Linked DNA regions of Styela clava. The protein of the gene in region 1 interacts with the protein of each later gene in a pairwise test. Links are inferred from orthologs where the notes say so. Each region holds a gene or a part of one and is shown on either strand. Other genes may lie near its edges. The genes, in order: large ribosomal subunit protein uL10-like and large ribosomal subunit protein P1-like.

Region 1 (12,436 bases):
CTAGTAGCCTATCGGCATATCTGTGTCGAGTAAACGTTCGAGATACATGCGCATGGGTAGCGTAAGAAAATGTGACCATGCCAATTCCATGGTGCTATGCGGTCTACCGTTGCTCTGTACTTATGACAATGCTTTGTTGGCATAACCTGGCGCATCTCAGCGGTCTTGATCCCGTCATGGTTTCGTTGGGAAATAGTCAAAGGCGGAACTGTTGGTCTGTTAATTTTTCTCAAGGTTGGAATTATACATTTATGACCATTATTAACTCACGTGCTTCGATTAAATCGAGACAAGTTAAATTTTAAACTGATTCCACTGAATAGCTGATTCCTTCGCCATTATTGCTTGGGTAGGTTTTGTTGTTTACCAAAATGACATAAGATTCGATATTAGATTTAAACCTTTTTCGATTACTAATGTGCCATCAAAGCATTCAATACGACGCTTCATGGTAACAGACGGGGCTATAAATGAAACATATTATTTTCTGTACTACCGAGCTTATCCAATATTCTCCAACTCGGCAATTTCAACTGTTTTTTAATACAATAAAGCTACAACATTCATCATTTCGTCCCGCTATTTCTTTTGCTCACAAAGAGATCAGAAATGAAATTAAGATAGACATGATTTTCCATGTGAAGTTAGGAATCGAGCAAAATTGTTGACAATGCCAAAGATTCACGTTAAATAATGTTTCAGACCATCGTTGATTTATCCGCAAACATCCTTTTCACGGCACGAATCTGAAATAAAGATAGAATTTCTAGTTTTCACCGAGGGAAAAGAATAAATAGTCAGATAAAATAAATACCTGAAATGCACAAATCGTCAGTATGAGTAAGACCGACAAAGCAGAAAAATTGTTGATCATATTAAGATTGGATGTTGTTGTTAAAAAATCGTAACGAATCGATGATCTCACTTCCACGGTATCAGTTCTTATTCGTCCAAGCCTTCTGATTATGCGGTATATTTTATCCTAAATTTAAAAAAGATATCATCGAGAATAGTGTACTGGAATATTATACTTCAATGACATTCATTAAACAACGTATTGTGTATATATAAGTTCATATTAGTTCAAGCATTCTGGTTATACGGTATATTTTGTTCTGAATTCAAAAAGGAAAATTGATGATAATTATTATACAACGTAAATTATGAGTGGAATGAATTTATAATAAAACAATTTTTACATACAAAAAATTTTCAACTCTCAAGTTTCAGAATATAGGTATGAATTTAGTCCTGGTTTTGAAATTTACATTAGTGACATGGTACTCCAAGAAGTATTGCACGACGTTTGTACTTACAGCCATACTCAGAGTACTTTCATCATTCACAGTTTTGCGGAATGCTCTCACATATCCAAATCGATATATATCCAAGGATATTTGTGTAAGTATGAGACTGTTTGATTCCATGTTGACAAAACAGATCCCGTATGTTGCTGTAACAAAAGTCATTGGTTATCATTATTTTTTAGCAATATCATAATTTTATAAAAAATTAGATCGTTTATTGAGAAGTTGAATATTACACATTCATTATTCGAACATGAGTAGGCATATTATGCGCACCCCAAAAACCCTTGTCACCGAACAATGAAATAGTAAAATCAGTCATTATCACTCCTAAGCACGTTGACTATGAATATTTTTATTTTAATTTCTTAGCGAGGATTTTAAACATACAATATGGATTTGGACAAAAGAAAACGGAACAAATGTTGGGAAAACACTAAGAAACACATGTACCTCTTGTGCATGGTATAAATTTTACACTATAGTAAGTATATAAATATATTCATATGAATCTACATATACAGTATATACAAATACAGTATACATATACAGTATATACAAATGGATTATACTGTGAAAATATAAATATTGCACTCACACTTGAATACATACAAATTTAATTTAATACACAACCATACCTTTGTTGAAATCATCGATTGATTTTATAATGCTTTTAAATACCCATGTGATAATTTTTATGTGAGGGTGCCCAATGCGCGTAGCATTTGAGCGATTGTCCTGGTAGTGTAATACAGACCCTGTTTGTCTGCAAACATCTCGAAATGACCCCTTCTCACGCTGTTCGTGTTGTTGATTATTGTTCCATCCTCTAAAATATACAGAAAAGCTGATATTTTCCCATCTGAAGTAAATGTCGATGGCGATAAAGCCTGAAATGTTGGAAAAAAGACACGTCAATACAAATCGGATGTGTTGCATTAGAACCCTTGCATGCACTATTCTCTTTTCATTTGTTTACTATTTGCTTTGAAAAATAACTGATTACAGAACATTATTATTACTGACAATACATCGGGGGTTCCTGTATTTATTACGTATATCCATCTCTTGAATATTTTTGCATTACTGCAGTGTCTCCAAAATGTCGTGTCCCACTTGTACCACGTGTCCCGCGTGTCCCACTTGTTACACGTGTCCCGTGTCCCACTTCTCCGGGACAAGTGGGACACGTTGTACAAGTGGGGCAAGTGGGACACGTGTTACAAGTGAGACAAGTGGGACACGTGGTACAAGGGGGGCAGGTAGGACACGTGAGACAAGTGGGAAACGACATTTTGGAGACACCTTGTTAGGCTCTCTCATTATATAAAATAAGACATACCTGGAAATTAAAAATTAACTCTGTCGAGTTTTCAACTTCTTGCATGAAGCACTCTGCTTTATCTTGGTTGATCATTACTCTGAAATCGTACGCAGTGTGTGGCTTATCATCTGCCAAATCCCCGACAAAATGAATATATTTCTTAACCGAATCTCTCACTTCTGCCGCATAAAGAAAGAACAGATGAATGAAAAGTATAAACCAATGGTAAGTTTTTATTCAACTAATATTAATTTGAAAGAGCCAGAGCAATCAATACATATAAGGTATAGTAAATGCGCCGCAATTTGGAAAGCACGCGAATAACCAATTTAAAGCGTTTTAGCAGGGTTAAATGATCGAATACTTAATGTCGTGACTTACTGCAGCAGTTCCATGAGTCCATGATTCATTAAAAATAATTTTATTTGAATTCCAAATAGATGAAATAAAAATTTAATGCTTTAAGCATGTACAAATGTGGTGCTTCCGTGGCCAAGCGGTTAGAAAATTCAGACTGAAAACTATGACTTCATTCTACTTATTCAGTTTTGTAAACTTGGTCGTATTATTTTACTTTTATATATATTTGAATATATTCGCACACTGAATTTTTTATTTACAAACTACGACAATTACAAACAACAGCTAGACCTAGGTTGCAGCCATCTTTTACATATATCCAAATTATCATGGAGTGAAAAATATAGTAAAAAAAAAACATGAAAAATACCACTTTACCTTTGATCTGCAGTCTATCAGGCCGCATTGCTTGAATCTTCGGATAATGGAAGCAAACGAGTACATAGGCTAGAATAAAACAGCGGCCGTGTTTACTTATGTGACAGCTCATTTTATATGATTCCAATCATCACACAAAAATCACTTCAGTATTTTGGTGAAAAGACGAAAAGTAAGACGCTCTAAAAATGAAGAAAAAATAGTTCTATTGCCGTATTCCAGAACCCTTGGATCCCTACACCTTCCTATAACACCTATGCTTACGTGTCGTAATTAAACGGCTAACCACGGAAAGCTTATATATATATATATATATATATTTCGTGAAACTAAACGAATGCATTTTTTTTTTTTGTAATACAATGTACTCAACGAATGTACGCTTACTTAGTGCAGCTTTCTCGTATTTCCTGTAATTGAATTGTTTCCTTTTGTGATGTTAGAATTCGTAGAATTTTTACCGACGACTATGCAGAATAAATTAATGACGACTCAAATGTGCTTGTTCATAACTATGCCACAGTGTCATAATAAGAATAATACTATAGCATGCTCAATATGTTTATACAATATAGTTTTATGAAGTTTTAGCATCGATCAATTGATCTATGCACTGCCCAACTGTGTCATGCCCACCAGCAACAAAAAATTATATTTTCTACCCCAATATTTCTCAAGCAGTGTTGACATGTCACGTATATATAGCCATTATAAATAAATTTTTATAAAATAACTTTTATGCCTCACCAATTTCAGCGAAAGTTGATATTGAAGTTAGCGGGGAGATAATTGGCCCAGAACTACAGTAAGCTCTTTTCAATTTTTCAGTTGTGGAAATGAAATTCTGCTTAAATTTTTGTTTTTCATACATAAGAAACGATTCTTTATATACAAAGGGTTACAAACAAAGTCGAACATTTCTCTGTTTTCTGTGTTTCCGCTTAATATCTGATTAAATCTAATTTAAAATAATCTAATCGGGTTACAATTTGTATCTTCAGAGTTATTATTACATGTGAAAACATAATCCCATTTAAAGACTATGTTTTAATTATCCCAGAGGCCAAGCGCTATAGTGATTAGTTATCACTACACATAGATTGTTTGTAGATTGATCTTGTTTATGTATTATAACCCCAGCATTGACTGACAATAGTTTTGTCTTGCATTCGTCAACTCGAACGTCTCCTTACTACAGCCGAAGGCTATCGACAGATAGACAGTTCGAGTTGACAAATACAAGACAAAACTATTGTCAGTCAATGCTGGGGTTATAATACATAAACCAGATCAATCTACAAACAATCTATGTGTAGTGATAACTAATCACTATAGCGCGACCACGGCATCTGAAACTCGATTCCCAGGCGTAGTGTACACAATTGTAGTTTTATACGGGCTCTGATTTCATGATATCCCGTTTTTTTCATACGTTGTTATCAGTACTCAAACGTGTTGAGGGTTAATTCATCGTGGTGAGCTTCAGTTTAAGGGCAGTGGTTCTCAACGGTGGGGCGTAGACAATGTTTTGAGAGGACGTGAAGCTATTTAAAAATTAAAATATTGGTTTGATTGCTTTATATTGAATATTTACATTTCTTATTTTGTCAGCTGAAAACAACTGTAGTAATAAAAATAACAACAATTTTGCGTGTTTTCAAAACTTTTAATTTATTTCATTATTTAATGTCATTGGTTCCATCGACGTATTTTCAACGTGTTTTTTGAATAAAACATACTTTCACCTTACTATCTGTTATTTGTAGCTTATTGTCAGCTAGGTATTTTTGAAGTGGGGCGCGAGACTTGGGTAAATTCTAAAAGGGGGCGCGGCTCAGAAAGTTTGAGAACCATTGGTTTAGTGGTTTGCGGTTCGATTCTCGGGGGTGATGTATATTTTCGATATTGTTCTGGCAGTATTCACAGGGTTGTCATGTTACTGCTGACCGACTTTTTCTGTCGTCTAATACCACAATATAAGACCCAACATATATGCAATATCGATATAATGCTAAAAAACCTGCGCAATCTCTATCCGTAAATAAATACTAATTCGCTCAAACTCTAAGTCAGTGAAGCGTGGAAATGATTTAGTTGAAAACTGTCACGTGTCTGCGATCGGTCCTTTCTCGCCTGACCGTCGAGGTTGGTTGTCGTCTTTTTCTAATCTATTATAATCGATTGATCATGAACCGTTTTCGCATAAAAATAGTGATGTTCTTTTTACATATATTTACAAGTTCTAGGAAAGACAAGATATGTCATCTTTTTTTATGCTACGAGATGTACGTTGATGCAATATCATGAGTTTGTTTCTTCAGATCCTCGCTTTGTCTTTAAAACTCCAAACGGAAATCCTTGAGCACAACCAAGATGCCCAGGGAAGACAGAGCAACATGGAAGTCGAACTACTTCTTAAAAATGATTGTAAGTGATTTAATATGTTTTATGAAGTTCTTGTGTACAGTTGAAAGATACTAGGTACCGTATTTATTCAATTATAACGCGCACTCGTGTACCAGTCTGGATTTCATGGCCTTTTTGAACGAGAAATCGGGCGTGCAATCAGAAATTCCCGCGTGCAAATAAGAATTCCTGGCGTGCAATTATAGCTCACGACGTGCAAAACAACTGCACTCGCGTGCAACTGACTTTGACATCAGATACCTCTCAATACATCCGCGTAAAATTACCGGTATCGGATAAAAAATACGTTGAATCAGAGAAAAAATGGACGTTTGACCTTTGACCCCAAACATTATTTCTACAGTTTGTCGCTAATTTTGAGAGTGTTTGTGCGACTTTGGATACCGGTACTGTTCAGTACATCCGCGTAAAATTATTGGATAAAAAATACGTTGAACCAGAGCAAAATGGACATACATTGTCATTAATTTTGGTAGTGTTTTTACGCAGAATTAATGGATAAAAAATACGTCAAATTAGAGCAAAATGGACGTTTGACCTTTAACCCCAAACATTATTTTCATACTTTGTTACTAATTTTGGGAGTGTTTGAGCAACTTTAGATACCGGTACTGTTCAGTACATTCGTGTAAAATTATTGTATGAAAAATACGCTGAATCAGAGCCGTATTTGGCCATTGGTGCGGAGGCGATCTTTTCGTCCATAACTATTCTCACGGGATTCCTACTTCCTATCATTCAACACGATATGGACCTTTCCCCGAGCATCGACTTCCTTGTTTACTTCGTGACATTGGCCAATCAGCAAGATGCAAAAAAGGACGTAACAATGAGAGGAATTTTTCGCGGGTCAAAGGTTGGGGAAAGGTCCATGGTCTTTTTGCTTCGCAATATTTCGATCAGACCAAATCTTGCAAGCTGGTATTTGTCGACAATTGTGGAGTTATAATATTTTGGCATCTTTATATTACTGGATTATTGATTTTAAAACCATTTAAACCGATTTACATTGGTGAGCAATTGCAAATTTTCGGCGTGCAAAATTGATTTCGCTCGCGTGCATTTTTGCGGAGCGCTAGCGCCCTCGGGCGTGCACCTGCCATGGAATCCAGTCTGGCTCGTGTATAACGCGCACCTTTAAATTTTGAATGAAAATTGGTATAAAATTCTTTTTTTTATTTTTTCTCTTCTAACTACTGGTAAGCACATAAGGTAACAACTCACAGCATGAACAAAAATTTATTAAAAGCACACAGTAATTCAAAACTCTTCAAAATCGGATTCAGTCTCTGATTCACCAAACAACTGTTCGATTTCTGTTTGGGTTATGTTTAAATCAGTGCAGAACGTTTTTGTCTTGCCATAATAGATAATGGGTAATATATAATGGGTATCTACAGTACAGTACGATAATGGCAAATAAATATTCTCAACGCAGCAGGAATGTCAAACGCATGCTGAGCTGTCGCATGTGCGTGTGCTTGCACGAAATCGAACGCTTGCACGAATGTCAAACGCACGCTGAGCTGTCGCATGTGCGTGTGCTTGCACGAAATCGTCCTGCATTGGAATGTGCATGCGCGAGCGCACGCACGTTTCAGATGTTTAAAACCACATTTTCAATACCGCATTTCTCAGACCTCGTGTATAACGCGCAGCATTGATTTTTGCCAAAAATTCAGTTCAAAATTTTGCGCGTTATAATCGAATAAATACGGTATATATATATTTATTCATTTTAGTGCCAATACTTGGCATAAGCGAGGTAAATTCTGAAAATTGCATGGGTTTTGGTAACTTCTTTAATGAGGCGCAGTTCTTACCACTTCATGGCAGCTCCTGCCACAAACAGACCACGCCGTCTCCCGCCATGGTTTTATGGCGCTATTACCGGTATATTTACAAATTCATGTACCATATTTTAGTTTATCATGCGGAATTAGGGTCTGGTACAGGTATAGTTTTGTAACACATGCACTTCTAGTTGGCCTGGCTCAACAACTTTTGCATATGTCAGTACGGCACACTTTACAGATCGAGAGACAATCTCTTGTTTTAGAGAAACCTATTTTAACGGTGATCGAATATCCCTCCTTCGATGGACGTCTGGCGGATTTTGTCTCCCGATATCGATAAATTGAAGCTGCGCAGTAAACTAACAAAAAGCGCAATCTAAAACCATCACCATTGAATTCCTCGTGAAAATATATTCAGATCTACCGATGTAAAAAAAATTTTACCGGTGCGTTCGAGAGAAATGAGCAAAAAACGATTGACGGCGTGTGACGTCACTGAATTTCAATCGACGCACGCAGGCACGCATCGGCCGTTCCTCGACGTAAACCTTGGCGTGCCGTGTTTCTCTCATTTTCAATGTAGATAGGATGGCGTGTTAACGATAATAAATGGATTACATTTTGATAACACACAATCGATAAACAGTAAAATTAATGCCTCGATATAGCATTAGATGAATTAGTTCATAAAGTAATAATTTAATCTAATGCCGCAACGAGACATTCATATGCCGCAAAATGTGCAACTTGCGTAATTTATACAAGAATAGATCGGCGAAAAACGAGAATCAAATTAGCAAAATAACTTAATATAATGCCACATCGATGTATTCATATGCCGCAAATGTTCAGTTTGCATAATTTATACTAGTATAGATCGGTAAAAAACAAGATTCAAAATAATATAATGTGCCATCGATACATTCATATGCCGCAAATGTTTAACTTCGAAAGTTACGGTATACGAGAATAATTTAATTCAATGCCACATCGAGGCATTCATTTGCCACAAATGTTAACTCTTTTGTTCCGTATAACTTATATATTCGTATTACCATCCTTGGTCATAATAGTTATTTTCGGACTATTTTACGTTTATGTTCATGTTTTGTGAAGTATTCCGCACTAACTAAATCATTTTGAGCATCCAACTATGATCCGTGCTTGATCTGTCAACATTTTGTTTTTTTGTAAATTTTTTATTTTACTACTAAGTGAATTTTATTTGTGTAGGCATTTCAAAGCTTAGAGATACACGAAAGTATTTGTCATTACTTCAAAAATAAGTCATTTGAACGAGCGGGAAACAATTTCGCGCACATAATAAACAAACAAAGATTCCAGACAACTATCGTGGACATGCTCTCACATATCATTGATTATTTCGCGTTTCGCTTCGCTTGCGAAGCTGAGTCTGGTTTTTCTGCAAAGGTGACGTAACCCTCTTTCAGAAGAGCGCTTGGAATTTCGTTTCTTTGTAACACGTGTTCATCGAAGCGATAAGAGTGTGAAACGTTCTCTCAAAATTTTTTGAAATTTCTCTCTTCTTACACGCGTAGGGTCGAACAGTTTCGCCTACGTCATTTGGGCGCGTTTTAGTAGGAAGACGCGAAAATAAGCTTTTTAAAGAGATATTGGGGGTGTTCCTTGTACGTTTGGTTAACTGGTCATTGCATATTATAAAATGGTACATAAAGTCGATTGTATACAGCGGAAAAAAAGGGTTAATCTATACGAAAATAATTTAATTCATATGCCGCAAATGATCAACTTGCGTAATTTACACAATAATAGATCGGCAAGAAACAAGAATCAAATTAGCAAAATAATGTAATATCATGCCGCATCGATGTATTCATATGCCGCAAATGTTCAATTTGCGTAATTTATACTAGTATAGATCGATGAAAAACAAGATTCAAACTAATATAATGCGGCATCGATACATTCATATGTCGCGAATGTTTAACTTCGAAGTATACGGAATACGAGAATATTTTAATTCAATGCCACGTCGAGGCAATCATATACCGCAAATGTTAATTTGCGGGATTTATGCAAGAATAGATAGGTGAAAAACAAGAATCAAATTAATATAATGCCGCATTGATGCATTCGTATGCCGCAAATGATCAACTTGTGTAGTCTGTGAAAAACAAGAATCAATTTGGCAAAATAGTTTAATCCAATTAATCATCGAGGCTTTTATTTTACTATAGATTGTTGACGCTCAAATTTAAATAAAAATCTCGAATATAATTATTAAATGATATCGTAATTCGTAATCGTTGTGCGTTCTGGAAGTTTCAGTTCTAAATAACCGAAGATGCTATGTTAAATTGTTGTAATTACAGGTATTAACGGGCATACAAAGTTTCACTATCGATATTAATTTAACTATTGAAAAAAAAACTTCGATATCGTGCATCGTTTTGACTTCGTTATACGACAATTCAAACGATGTCATGTAGTCACAAACACTTATAATAAAATTAGTTGGACTCGTAGACGTATTAATCGAAACGCATAATTTTGTAATCTCTTGATATTATTTAAAAGTAATTATTTATTCACAGACGTTTGCATTTACGCGACATTATTTTAATTAGGCACTACCAACAGTAGACTGAATATAATGATTCAGAAATACATCGTATATTTAACCATATAGGTCAGTATACATCGGTAAGAAACGAAAATCAAATTAGCAAAATTCGAGAGCCGTGCCGAACTGTGCGTGACTTTCTTTGACGTCATATCCAGACATCTGACGTTCTCACGCATCGAGCTCGCAGACAACTCGACGCCCCCGGTTTCACAGACGCCTATTCATATTTTGGCTCTTCCGGAATGTAGACGCAAATCCGGATTCGGGATAGTGTGCCGTACTGTATGTGTTACCGTAAAAGCAGCTACCTTCGGATGATTTCACTTTATTTTAATCGATAACTCTGCCGTTTCAAACTTGAAATATATTACATTGATGTAATTCTCTGCATTTGCATATAATTTTCTCTAGGATCGGATTATTTTTTCTGTCTTAATTGTCTCATTTTTCGTCATCTGTAACGACACAAATAAATATCTAACTTCGGATGGGTGTATCCCCTCCCTGCGTCACCGCAACTAGAGCGAAAAGTGCGTGCGTGAAGACAAAACACGCTTTACGTCGTTGCGTGAATGCCAGATGTTCAATCGACGTTGCGAGTGACGATGACGACCGTGGGATTTCCGGAGTGGCACTTTCAAGTTGTTTTTATACTAAAATGTCTCGTTTTATTTTCTCTTATCGTAACTTTAGATCCGATCATAGTCGATTTTGTTGTAGCCGATAATGTTTCGATAGCGTTTTTACACTCCACACCATGTATAGTCGCACAATAAATATAATTGAGCATGCACATGACTGGATTCTTTATTAAACTTGACCTACTTAAATGGCGGTCGTGCATAAATCACGACAAAACACCAATTTGGCAATTGGCAACTTTATTAAAATTACTTTCGTTAAATTCACGAAACGGAACTCACTTGCAACAATGATTGTTGTTATTTATCGCTGGTTAGATATTTTTATATTTACGCAATATTTGTCGACTGCTTACAATTTTTCTATTTTGAACCATATGTTGCCGTACCAAATGGAGAATTTGAAATTGTCAACACGAATGAATATGCTTTTTGTTAATTGCCATTTTTAATAAATTTAATTGTATTACATTTCCAGCATTTGACGCCATGAATTTCCGATTAGAGCTCGACCGATATCACTTTTTGGCACCGATAACGATATATCGGCCAACTAGTGACCGATATCGACATACCGATATCTACAACCTGAACCCTACAGTGAATACAAATAGAAAGAAACATTCCGTTTCAGTCAATTAAAAGTTTATGTTGAAAAATAAAGCAGTCCTACACAGTGCTTGCATCATTAATAAAAGTTTCACAGCAAATAATAAGAACACACATTAATGCACAAAAGAAAAAAGGCAGTCAGTAAAAAGCTTATAGAAGTCCATTTTGATCCATACAGTAGTAGGTGGGAGTAGGCTTGCACGTAATTTACGGAATTATTTCGAGTTACGGAAGGGAAGTTACAAATTACGTAAAGTCGTAATTATTGGTCGAGCTGTTTCGCGTTTGAAACGTGGTCCTTCCAAGCAGTCAATTCCGTCGATTGTAAAAAATGAAAGTTTAACAAGTAGAAGAAGTTAGAGTTCCGGTATTCGCAGCAGTTTTGAGCCGGCATGACGAGTTGTCACCCCGTTTGAGCGTTTGATTTCACGGTCAAAAAGATATTATTATAAGCGTTATCACCGTAATGCAATTAACACCGACAGACTTTTTTGTCTTCACGATTTGGTATCTTTTTTATTCGGCGCTGATAATGATAAATAAGAATGTGTGATAGTTGATTGTAATTCCGGAAGGCGTATTTTTCTTTCTCTCCGTGAAACAGACATGAGACGAATTTTACCGTCGCTATAAGCGCTCAAAAGGAGAGAAGGCTAGGCTACTTTCTTTTCCCGACTCAATCACTTTTATTAATACAAATCACAGCGCATTAAAAAACAAAATAGAATTTATTAGCATTAATTTACAACGAGTTACGGGTAAGAATTTATCGCCGGCTAAATAATTAACATTTAGGCCGCGAAATGATTTGATATAGAATAAAGCTTGGTACTCGGAATATCGTCAATAATTCAGCATCAATAATTAATATAAAATGCTGACTAGGTAGCAAAGTCGGATAATGTAAAAGTCGGATAATGCAATTTTTTCGTAATTACGGAATTGATTTTTGTCGATTACGTGCAAGCCTAGTGGGGTTACAA
Region 2 (12,436 bases), on another chromosome or scaffold:
GGATTATGGTATAGCTGGAAGCAATGAACTATGTGGTGTTCAAGTATATTCACCAATGTTTGATTATGTTCCACCTGAACTAGTGACACTTTTCATATCAAATATTGGTGGTAATGCGCCTTCTTACATGTACAGATTATTAAGTGAACTTTATCATCCTGATGATCACGAGTTGTGACAATTTTGCAAGGTGAATCTCTTCATCAGGGTTATGGGAACTTGAGTTCAGGAGTAGTTCAAGTTTGGGTAGATGCTCAGAAACGAGAATAATGTATTTTGTTAAAGAAGAAATGACGAATTGGTGCAATATAATTTTAAAAATATACTTGTATTTCTGAAAATCAATTAGTCCTTTTGAAAACCCGAAGAGGCGAGCTTGCGCAAGATTTGCACTCTGCTAATTTTGTTGTTTTTCATCGGCATGGCGTGGTAAATTCGCCCATCGACAATTTTGTCGGCAATCTGTATTCCGCCAGTCCTTCCCTTTTCACATTCTACAAAGTACTGGACGTCCTTCTCCATGAGGACAACCAAAATAATATTTTTTCTCACGCAACTATACTTTCGAAAAAACGCGTTTTATGTAATTTTTGAGGTGATGTATTGATGTTTCCATTGACTACATTGGAGATTTCAATGAACTTCAATTTAGGATAGGATTCACATATTTATCCCGGGAAGAGGAAAGCCGGTATGACGGCCTAATCATATGGCAAACCACGGCTTCCCGTCCAGTTTTAAAATAATGATGATATAATTCAAAATCTTCATATTTGTGAACGAAAATTTGCTTGCGTGTAACAAATATTTTACGTGCGTGTCTTCCGAGTTTCCATGATAATATCGGTTCCTCGTCTGCGCTCTAATAATGATAAATAAAATCATCATTGCAGCAAACAAATTAACAGTGCTACTTCCAAGCGCCTAAAGTTTTTGGAAGAGATTTCGTCAATCCACTCTTATGTTATTACTTACGATACCGATTTCCAGCCAAACCAGATGTTTTTTGTGCACGTAGTCAGAGGTCGAAACTATTTTGCCTCTTTTTTAGAAGTAATAGCAGTTTGCTGTTCGAATATCTAGTAGAACGTGACCTGGACACGGCACGGCACGCCAGTTGCGCGTCGCTCCTTCAAAGACTTGGATTTCATAACGCACTCGTGAACCACTTCTGGCGACCACAGAGAATCTGCACCACTTGTTACCAACAATCAAAGACGCTTATTCAATATTATATTTGCGTTATTGTATTTGTTTATTCATTTTCGGTGACTATGATATTGTTTAATTTTTAAATGAGCATAGCGTGTGCCAATGTTTCGTGAATTTAATTACTTTTCAGTGGGCGATTTGTACAATTCGAATCGCCAATATATATGAGTATTTGGAAAAGTAATATTACAAAGATTTCCAAACGAATACATTAAGTTGAATTTGTAAAAATCCCAGTAATTAAGTCAATTTTTTGACGTCGTTGACGGATGGCTATAAGGGAAATCGGAGCCGACACGAAAGATAGCAATCACAATGAAATTAATTTTTAAATTTGGGTTGCAAATTCGTTTATATATATATATATATATATGCGCAGCGTTCATCGCCGATCATCGCACAATATCTTTCGAGTTCGTCGAACAGAAAGCGCAGTAGGCAACTGCGAGAAATATAATAATCGAGAAATATATAATATCAATGACCTAATACATATATATATTTAGATAACCGGAACAATCAATCCAAAATCACGAAACATACTTGAGCCTAGATATAAAGCTGAAAACCCAAAAAATCTGCTCCCAAACTCCTTTACAGCGCTCGTCACAGAAAACAGTCTGGTGGGCCGCGGGTTGGGCAGCCTCTGTCAGGAGTCTCCTGAAGCTACTGATTTGCCACTTCCACCATCTGGAAACATATTTCCTACGTTGCATTTATAGTTTATAGGAGGAACCGATGAATTGTTGGCAGGGCGTCTTCGCGTAGGGAACTTCACTATGCCATAGCTTAGGGAAAGGTGGACAGTTTATAATAGGGTAAGTAATCACATTCGGTCCGAGCATCGACACTAATCTGTGGGTCGTCCAAATTCACTGCTATTTGAAGCGTCGACAGCTTCCGCCTGGAAAGTCTCAAAAGTATATATATGTATAACAGATTGGTGATAAAGCAGGAGTGAAATGTGGGTCAAAATATCCTCGCCGTCGTCCCGCATTGTCCTCTAGCACAAATTTAAACGGTGTCAGAATACCAACGAAAAACATTGGATTTCGCTTCATTTAAAATGTTACTCATATTTACGCTATTATTTCGTATTTTGCCCGTTTGGAAACTAAAACCATATTCTACACTTTTCGTCAGCTTGTGCGTGAACTTCGATATTATGTCGTTGATTTCTATTTCCGCAAATTCTCCCCGTCTCACAAATATCTCTCTGCACATCGTGTGGACATTGACAAATAATGTTTTTCTCGTCTGGAACTGAGCGTCCATTGTAAAAAACTCGTTATTATGCAATCATCAGAGACGAGAAGATGACCAAAGATGTGAATCCTCAACTCAAATTTCCGACTGAAGACACGGGAGTGATTACTGTGAGTCAATGTTCCCTCTAATTTTTGTAGTATGTGTGCGCAGAAATTTTGGTGTGTGCGCACTTTTTTGGAAATGGAAATCCCAACCTGCAATCGAGAACATTGTTACATTACATCCAAATACGTCTGTGCGCAGTAAATCTATGCGTGTGCGCAGCCTCTGAAAGCTGTGTGCGCGCGCACACCTTAGAGGGAACACTGACTGTGACCAAGGCGGTTCTGTAAAATACTACAAATTGAACGAAAAACAACATACTTTTCGACCTGACTTTCTTGATTTGAAAGCAAAGGGCACGATTAAACCACAAAACTCATAAAGTCGGTATCGATCAAGGAAAAAGGGTATCGAAACAAGCATAGCATATACAAAGGGCAAAACATTAAACCACTAACACAATTAAAACAGTGGAATGCAATCAGTTCCCCACAGACCCAGAACTCTCACTGATAATTAATAGAATGGGATAATAAAGCCTAATGAAGTAAAAAAGCGGGAAAGAGAAAATTAGGACGAAAACTCGGTAAAAAAAAATATTTGTCACAGTAAATTAATAATAAAAGGATTGTCGAATAGAATACTGGATGATCAAACGGTAACAACAAAATATCAAAATATATTGCCATGTTGATATACATGCATTCTATTACTTGTGTTCAAAGTAGTCGCGATTCCGTTATATAGATAAAGCAAAGAAATACTAACACTCTACTAACTAACCGTCTACGCCAGCAAGCTAACAAGTCACCCAACCTAGACTACCAAAACAAAAGACAGACTTGCTTGAAAAAGTTTAATAGAATGGCGATGAATATTTGAATCCGCGCTCCTTGCTTTGTTGTTTTCAGGTAAATAGTGGAACGATAAGTTGGGAAAGTAACGGCTATCACCAATTACACAAAAGGATGCAGCAATGAAACTTGGAACCACCAGACGCGCCATTGCAAATGAAAGTCCAAAACTGTCCACACGTCACAGCGAAGCAAAATACAGCACTTTCCCGTGCTGACACGAAAAGCCCGACACATAATGACATAAAATGACCGTTTTCCCCGAAAATAACACTAGGGCTTACTTTGGGGAGATTTGTTCTATTTTTATTTATCAAAAACAAAATTACAAAGTAGAAAATCACGAAATTTTAAATTATACAAAATATTATTTCTTGCTATCGACTACGTCAGAAAAAATATTTCGCGCCATCGAATACCGGTAGGTCTTATTTTGTTCAAGGGGCGGGCTTATATTAAAATCATTTATAAAAATCAGGCTAACTCTTAATTTATGATTTGGCTTACAAGTGAATGGAATCTGCACTCGAAAATGACAAATCGGCTATTCCGTGGACTTGACCGCCGGTGTATATGTAAACTTCAAGACATATAAAATAAAATTTATTTAGATACAGTAGTCGTCATAGTGTAAATACATACTACTAGGGTCATAGCAGTCGAGAAAATGCCTAATAAAAATACAAATTGTCAGTTTTTAGTTGTATTTCCGAAAATAAGGAATTAATTAATTAACTCAAGTATGATTTTGTTTTTAAAGGATCTCAGTAAGCCGTAAATATATACTGCAGACTGCAAGTAATCAAAAATGAGTCCCTCGGCCGCGTTAGACTAAACTCAAATTATCCACCGGTAGGTACTTTATGTGGTAGAATGTTTTGAATTAAAATAATGGTTTGAACATGTAAACCAGGTTGGGAACGCGAAATCACGGAAGTAGTTTCGAAAAATTTTGTTAAGTATAGAAAGAATTTTTTGGGGTCAAGGGTCGGGGAAACTTATATCAATCACGGCAGTTATCATATCATTTGTATGCTATTATGCTTATACAGTATATATATCATGTTTCCCCCCGCAGAATATTCTATATATTCGATTGGTTCTGAATAAAATGGTTAAAACACCCGCCTTCAAATCAACCTCATTGAATCACATCATGGTTGAATGGTTAAGTCACGTGGTCGTAGTTCGGTCTTTCTTTACGGTGTTATTGCTGTTGAAGGTGCTCTGTTCTCTTTTGGGCTAAGGTCGATTTATATCGGCGACGTGCATCGTTCATTTTGACCATCGATTCTTGAATCTCACACATACACTTTTACTATGACGTCTACTTCAGAACTTGCATGCGTTTACGCTGCTTTGATCCTCACAGATGATGAAATTGAAATAACCGTGAGCAGTTTTTTTTATATATCTCAATTTTCTTGGTATGATTTGTAACCGTTAAGGAGATCAGGACACGTTGATGTTGGGTGTTCCTGACAATGCCGGGTGTATACCTCAGTCTGCCAAGAGCAGGGAATGTTAAGTTTGGTATTATTCAGAATCCCAGTGTTCATAGCAATCATGGACTAATTTCTGAATTGAGGCATGTTTGCAAAGTCCATAAATGGCTCATCCTACAGTCTGATAGTCCTAAAATAATAATGGTCAGTGCTTCAAGCTAATTCGCTACTGATTGCTGCATTAGGCAGTTAGGGCACAGTTTTCAGATTTCAAGAATAGCACCCACAATAAAAGACTTTAATTATAAAATTGGATGCAAACCCCTCCTTTACAAGATAGTCTGGGCCTCTATTTGCAAACCGGCACTGCACAATACACTAGAAGAAATAATCCCAAGATACCAGAATGAAAAAAAATTTACCATAACATTCGAAAGTTTTTAGCAAAAAGATGAAATTTTGGTCATGTGACAGCCACAATTAATTTCCGATTACAGGATTATAATCGGGACAAGCCAGACTGGATTTCGTTGCAACTGCACACCTGAGTATACTAGTACTCCCTGAAAATGCATGCAAGCGAAATCCATTTTGCACGTTGGAAAATTTGTGATTATTTACCATTATATCTGACAGTCTGAAGGGTGGTTGAATGAAATGGCCACCAATAAACAGTACTGACGAGTTCTAACATTACAAATATACTAGGAATATGTGGGTTAACTTAAGTTCATTAATAGGCCTTATAATATTTGTTTTGTTACAGACTATTTTAATCTATTATTTTATCTACAGGCTGACAAAATCACCACTCTTACCAGTGCTGCCAATGTAACAGTGGAGTCATATTGGCCCGGCCTTTTTGCAAAAGTATGTTGGATGCAATTTTTATTTCTAATTTTAATTTATTGGTTGCAATGATGAAAACTTAAGCGCAAGCGATGTCTCAAATGAAGATAATCCTATCCCACTGAGCAACCACGATTTAATGAAAACAGCAGCTAATGGGGCTTACTAAACTTAAAGCAGAACAGATCACATATACAGGGAGTCCTCGACTTACGACGCAGTTCCGTTCCTGAGACTCGGTGTAACCCGAATTTCAGTGTAAGTCGGAACGTACAGTGGTACAGTGCATGAATTACTCTATACACATCGTACTGTATTGTAAAGTATGGTACTGTACACTAATGAAATGTACAAATAATGCGAATGAGAACTTTATTAGAAAAACATAAAACAATTCCATATCACGTGAATAAAAGCAAACCTTGATGCACTAACATCAGTATCATCTTTTTTTTGCTTTGAGTCCATAACAAAGCGCGAAAGTAAAAAAAAAACGATCAAACAAGTTACGAAAAAACTGACCTAAACAACCAAAATGACTTACAGTATCACTGAAACTGTGTACAGTACTACATCACTGGAACTGTGTACAGCGACCGTTGTAACCCTAGGACTCCCTGTATTTAAGGTGCATTCTTCGCTCACATGACTATGGCATTGGTTTCTCAATTTAGAAAGTAGTTGGAAGTGTTTATACGGTAGCAACTTTTTGTATATTTCTACAATTGATAATTTCATTTCGAGTCGCTATGGAAAAAAGGTTCATTAACACATTTTAATTTTTTCAATGGTGGATTTTCAGGCTCTTGACGGTATTGATGTGAAATCACTGATCAGTAATGTTGGTGCTGGAGGTGGAGGTGCAGCGGCAGGTGGTGGAGGTGCTGCAGCGGCAGAGGGCGGTGCTGAGGAAGGTAAGACAAATTCCATACAAATTTTTCTAGCTAATTTTTTTTTCAAGTCTAGATGCAAAACGAAAATTATAACTAATGAAATGGAACAATAATACTACATTTGTAATTATTGTGACATTAGCCAATGAAATATATGGTATTCTTTGTTATTAAAAGAGAGTGATTTACTAATGCTTTCACATGAAATTCATTTCAAACCAAAAGTGAAGGTAAAAGGATGTGGTTGCTATGATGACACCCTAAAGCGCAAACAGATTTTATGTGAAGATATTCCTATCCCACTGAGCAACCTAATAATAAATCTTTTCTTTGGGTACATGAATTATCAAATTTGTGCTCCAACTGATAACCAATTCATATTTTAGCTAAAGTGGAAGAAAAGAAAGAAGAGTCTGAAGAAGAATCCGATGATGACATGGGATTCGGACTGTTTGATTAAATAATGTATGTATCTCTGATGTGCCATTAAGTTCAAATTTGCTGTTTATTTTTTTATTCACTAGCATAATATCATCACCATTCCGAAGATAGTTATCCCCAAAAAATGAGGTCTGTCCAAATAAGCCAGTTCGCTCAAACTTATTCAGGTTATCTCATATAAGAAACCGCGATTCTTATTTCCATTTCTCATTTATTGGTTGCAATGATGAAAATTTAAGCGCAAGCGATGTCTCAAATGAAGATAATCCTATCCCACTGAGCAACCAGGATTTAATGAAAACAGCAGCTAATGGGGTTAGTTATTGTTTGCTGTACCCTTAAGTTTGAATTTGCTAGCATAATATAATCACCATACCGAAGCCAGTTATTCCCAAAAAATGTGGCCTGTCCTAAAAAGCCAGTTCGTTCAAATTTACTCAAGGGTATTCAATATATGAAACGGTACATGGACAGCAGACATTTAAGTTTTGTTGTAGAAATAAGTGATTAAAATCACCATGCTCTTGATTAATAATGTTTGCAATTGCAAACTTGAACGTAGAGCTTTGATATAATTTGTATTCTCGTTTTTTCCAGAACTGAAGAAATAAAAGAATCGACAGCGCAAATATGTTGCATTTTGTTATGGCAGGTATAGATTTATTGGTAGAAGCTATGGCAGCTGTTGTATGTTGGAATTAGCGATAAAGGTACAGGTCTTCATGATAACGTATATCAGACAGATTACCATGGTCCAGTTCAGGATTAGTTTGTGGACTGTCTAGTCCAGTGTTTCCCAACCTTTATCCGCCCACGTACCATCTCGGGATTTGGTGTAGTGCTCGCGTACCACCTACACAAATAATGCGCGCGAAAAGCTATTTCTCACCGTTTGTGACGTCATAATAACGTATTTGATTCATGCAAAATGTAACAACAAATTCTATTAAACTAGGCCGCATCAGCCAAGATTGATGTGGTGCATGTTATTGTTTTTCCGCCACTATTCAAAAGAAGAGCAACATAGTGAAATGACAAAACAATCCTTTTAATATGATGGCTGCATTTGTTTATTTTCTACGAGCTGGTCGATGCGTGGCATACATTTGCTCACAGCTAATCGGAAGTCATGCATTGGCTCAAGGAGTCTGTTTCGTTTCTTAGATTTGATAGTCGTAAGGGATGAAAACTCTTGCTCTCACTCCCACGTCGAAGGGAAAATTAACAGCTGGGGAATAGCGCGAGAAGCAAGCGTCACATATGAGGAAGCCATGCTAAGCCAGAAGTTGATTGCGAGAACATTCTTTGTGTTTCGTCTTTGCAGTCTGGTCAGCCTGGATATCTATGAGCTCCTCTTGCTCGACAGGCAGGTCGGCTGGATCAATAGAAAATGGATCGGTTATGTAGGCACAACATATAACATCCGGAAAGTAATGCCTCAATTCGGCATTGAGCAGTGACGGGTGATCAACGATTTCGTGGGAGACTTCATCATCGGGCGCGCTGGGAAGGGTTGTCACGGATGTAAACATTCCATATTGCTTGCTTTCTACGTTATTTTTCCAGAGGTCCAACTTCCGGACAAGCGCTCTCAGTTTTGAATGAACTCTACGATAGTACAGTTTGGTCCTTGAAATGACAAATTTAAACGGTTGATGGTTTCAAAAATGTATGCCAAGTAAGTCAACCTTATGACAAATCCCTCATCCTCCAGATCTTTCTGAAACTCGTGATCTTTCTCCCGTAAAAACGCAAGTAGTTTGTTCCTCTATTGAAAAATACGTTTTGTTGTATTTCCCCTGGAGAGCCAGCGCACTTCTGTGTGATAGAGAAGACAAGTGTGATCGGAACCGAGATCTTCACAGATCAGCTTAAACAGGCGACTATTTAGAGCTGACGCTTTAACAAAATTTACAATTTTAATAATTCGGTTCAAGTACGATAACAACTTCGGTGGAAGTATCTTGGCGCTAAGGGCGAATCTGTGTATAAAACAGTGTACACCGGTGACGTTTGGTGACACGGCTCTCACATGGGCTTGAAACCCAGACTTTCGACCAAGCATGGCCGGAGCCCCATCTGTCGTGCATCCGATTAGTTTGAGCCAATCCAGTCCATTCAGCTTGAAGAAATTGTCTAGAACAGTGATTCCCAAAGTGGGCGATATTTTTGCATCTTGCTGATTGGCCAAGTAAACAAGGAAGTCTTTGCCAGGGGAAACATCCAAACGGCGGTTTTAACGATGAATTAATTTTATTTATCATCTACGCTCGAGGAGTAAATTACATTTCTTTTTACGTAACAGAATTTATCGTGAGACACGTTTAGACTAAATTTTATTATATTCTAAAAATTATATTGAACAGCTAGCTACTCGTTTAAATAGCCTACAATTTAATTATAATTAGACAAATGGAAACGCGCAGAAAAGTTGATGCTGAGTGCAGGGGTTCAATAGCGCAGTAAATATTCGGATATGTTGCAATGCAATAAGGAAATCAAATTCATATTCTATTCGAGAGATTCATCACTGCTTAATTTTTGTAAGAATGCGATCCGCAAAAGAATAGCAATCATAATATTGTCCCGCGAGCGACTTAAAATTTACCGACCCCATAAGCCATCCGGGTCCACGAATCCAAAACAAATGGCTGCTCAATTCTATGGACTGGCTGTGCCGCAGAGAAGGTCATGAGAGTATTCACTATATTGTGAATAAATTAGTTATTTATGCTAAATTTGCTTTTCTCAGAACAAAATAAAGCCCTCACAATCGAAGAAAACATGATGCTCCCAGTATATCATGATAGGAGATCAAGAAGATGACACACACTTGTACCTGAGCAACGTCACGCAAGGACTTACTATATATATGTACAGTATTTAAATATGGGTAATATAGTGAGATTAAACGCTGAGGGGAAAGGAGCACAAGTTGATACACCAACTATAGTTCTAACTGAGCTTAATTGAGACGAAAAATAAGTGGTTGGAGAAGTTGACGTAGCTAGCCTGGCTTACGAAAAAAGTTTTTCACCAGGATAACATTCAGTCGGTGGGAAAACGTTCTGGTGATCGGACTGGAGGACGTGGTAGGATGAGGCGTGGGGGATGAATTTTACCGAAGACCCTATATATATCATGTATTTTGGTGAAGGTCGTCAGGCTGCAGGGATGAATGACATGTACCTAAATCATTATTATAAGTTTTGAAAAATTAATTTTGTTTTCATTATTTTAATGTGAAACGGGGTGGATTTAGGGAGTTAAATGTTATAAGGCAAGAATACACGGCGGTTTTTGAGGAGGTAGAACCCTGGATTCTTTCATATCCGACCTCTGATATGGTGAAAAGAGAGTTTTCAGCCGTGACACTATTGCTATCAAAACAACTAAATTGCCTTTCCATCAGTAAACGGGGTAATTTTAGATATAATAAAAAAACTCGTCGAAGAACACCAAGATCGTCCATCTCATTAAAAAACACTATAAACCAGGGGTTCCCAAACTTTATTAGCCGCGGGCCAAAATTAGAATCGAAAGCATGTTCACGGGCCGAAAGTGCGCTGCGGTTTAGCTGGGATTTAGTAGATTCACATTGGACACATTTTTGAAACTTGTGTGTTTGACTCGTAATGAAGTTAAATGTTGTATTCCTTCAGAACTAGAATAGTTCGCTGGCAAAGAGGACAAATCGCTGAAGTCTGAGTCATAGTCTAGGTCAGGGCTACTCGACTACCGGTATGACAATGTTTCAGTTGTGTAACTTAGCGCCGACTTGCTGGGATGATTACAAATATTCGACCCCATAGCACCCGTGAATATATGTATATATTTATAGGTCTTCCGGCGACTTATATTATTTTTATGACTGAAAATTTAGAATTTTTTTTTTTAAATAATATTAAGGTAAGCCACAACGTTCACGAGAATTTTAGCATGACGTTTCATTAATCAATTTCGTGTCCAATAGCAAAGTTATCCGTCAATCGTTAGTCTGGAAAATTACATTTCAATCTTGGCTCTAAGAAGTGAGAGTATACTATTTTGCAAAATCGGGTTATTTGTTCTAATTTTAAATTTCAAAAATACAACTAGAAACTGACAAATGAGTACAAAGCCAAAACACAGTCTAATCGTAAATATATACTACTACGGGTCTAATATGTACCAACTTTTCTAAAAATCTTTGAAAAGTGTATTTTTTTCTCGTTGTTTAGCGAAAATGCATTACATCACGATTGTGGAATAAAAAGAAACGATGCATTCCAACCGGTACGTATATTTGAGATACAGCTATAATCGAATTGCTATGATAAACACGAGCTTAGACTGCGATGATGACATAACAATTGGCGGTATCTAGTTTGCAAAAAGGTAGAAACAAAATCTTCACTTAAGCACGGCGGGCCATTTTAAATCGTTACGCGGGCCGGATTTGGCCCGCGGTTTGGGAACCCCTGCTATAAACTATGATTTGTCCTCTTATTTGGTCTGTAATATATTCGTTTCAGCCTTTCAATTTTTTTTGCAGTGCCGGGGGCGATGAAGTTGTATAAACTAGTGTAGGGAGGCGATGGTACAAAAAGTTTGGGAACCACTGGTCTAGAACGCTGAAAACATCCTTTCCTTTTGTTGTACTGCACAACTCTTGGCTCAGCAGTAATTCTGTTTTTTACAGCATTATCCTGTGTGAAACGGACATAGACAAGTAGTTAACTGCAGTTCGAAACATCTGTAGATTCGTCGACCTGTATTGCAAACCCAAATTTTGAAGCTCTTACTCCCGCAGTAACTTGATCGGCAATGTCAACTGACATCTCCTCGATACGGCGCTTTAGAGTATTGTTAGAGAGGGACACACTGTCCAACTTTGCCACGGACTCCTCTCCCATCACACGTCTGACCAAAATCTTTGCTGCCGGCATTATGAGAGACTCTGCAATGGTATGAGCTGTAATGCTTTTAGCCACCAAGAAAGCGACATCATACGACGCTTTGACAATCTCTGTCCCCTTCTGGTGGAATAAGCCAGTTCTGTCCAAACGCTTCCGCTTCATTTGCTCCGCAAGTCGCCGGAAGTAGCTCTGATCTCGATTTTTCCTATCAGCGTGGTTCGTTCTAAGATGACGTAGAAGCAGGCTGGGTTTCATGGACGCGTTGGAAAGACCACTGTGAATCCAGCAGAATTTCAGCAGAAAAATATTCTGCAGTTTTCAACCGATTCCCACGCGGAATATAACAACTTTTAATAATATTAATTACGAATAAACTGATCCTACTCAGAATTAAATGTTCCGAGAAAAGCACATCGGAGAAAAAGATACGTTTAAGCACATTAAGCTGGTACTGGTAATTATTAAATACATAAATAAGATTCACATGACGGAGAATCACATAAAAAAAGAATATGTTAGCACGAAAAACAAAA

The links.
Region 2: the proteins of large ribosomal subunit protein uL10-like (region 1) and large ribosomal subunit protein P1-like interact in binary tests that used the Drosophila melanogaster proteins (3 or more experiments, as listed by UniProt). The link is inferred for Styela clava from reciprocal best matches to the Drosophila melanogaster genes RpLP0 and RpLP1.

The regions. Positions count from the first base shown.
Region 1 is NC_135261.1:12,850,277-12,862,712, forward strand, and holds the start of large ribosomal subunit protein uL10-like, read left to right. Parts: upstream 1-5,482; 5' UTR 5,483-5,514; intron 5,515-5,690; 5' UTR 5,691-5,742; coding exon 5,743-5,796; intron 5,797-12,436. Other genes in the region: uncharacterized protein LOC120330259, read right to left, coding at 699-746, 815-982, 1,317-1,453, 2,065-2,197, 2,650-2,810, 3,370-3,481. UniProt on the Drosophila melanogaster protein: Ribosomal protein P0 is the functional equivalent of E.coli protein L10.
Region 2 is NC_135255.1:4,033,748-4,046,183, forward strand, and holds large ribosomal subunit protein P1-like, read left to right. Parts: upstream 1-4,563; 5' UTR 4,564-4,697; coding exon 4,698-4,769; intron 4,770-5,617; coding exon 5,618-5,692; intron 5,693-6,473; coding exon 6,474-6,585; intron 6,586-6,950; coding exon 6,951-7,024; 3' UTR 7,025-7,029; intron 7,030-7,172; 3' UTR 7,173-7,634; downstream 7,635-12,436. Other genes in the region: translation initiation factor eIF2B subunit beta-like, read left to right, coding at 1-178; zinc finger BED domain-containing protein 5-like, read right to left, coding at 11,721-12,158. UniProt on the Drosophila melanogaster protein: Plays an important role in the elongation step of protein synthesis.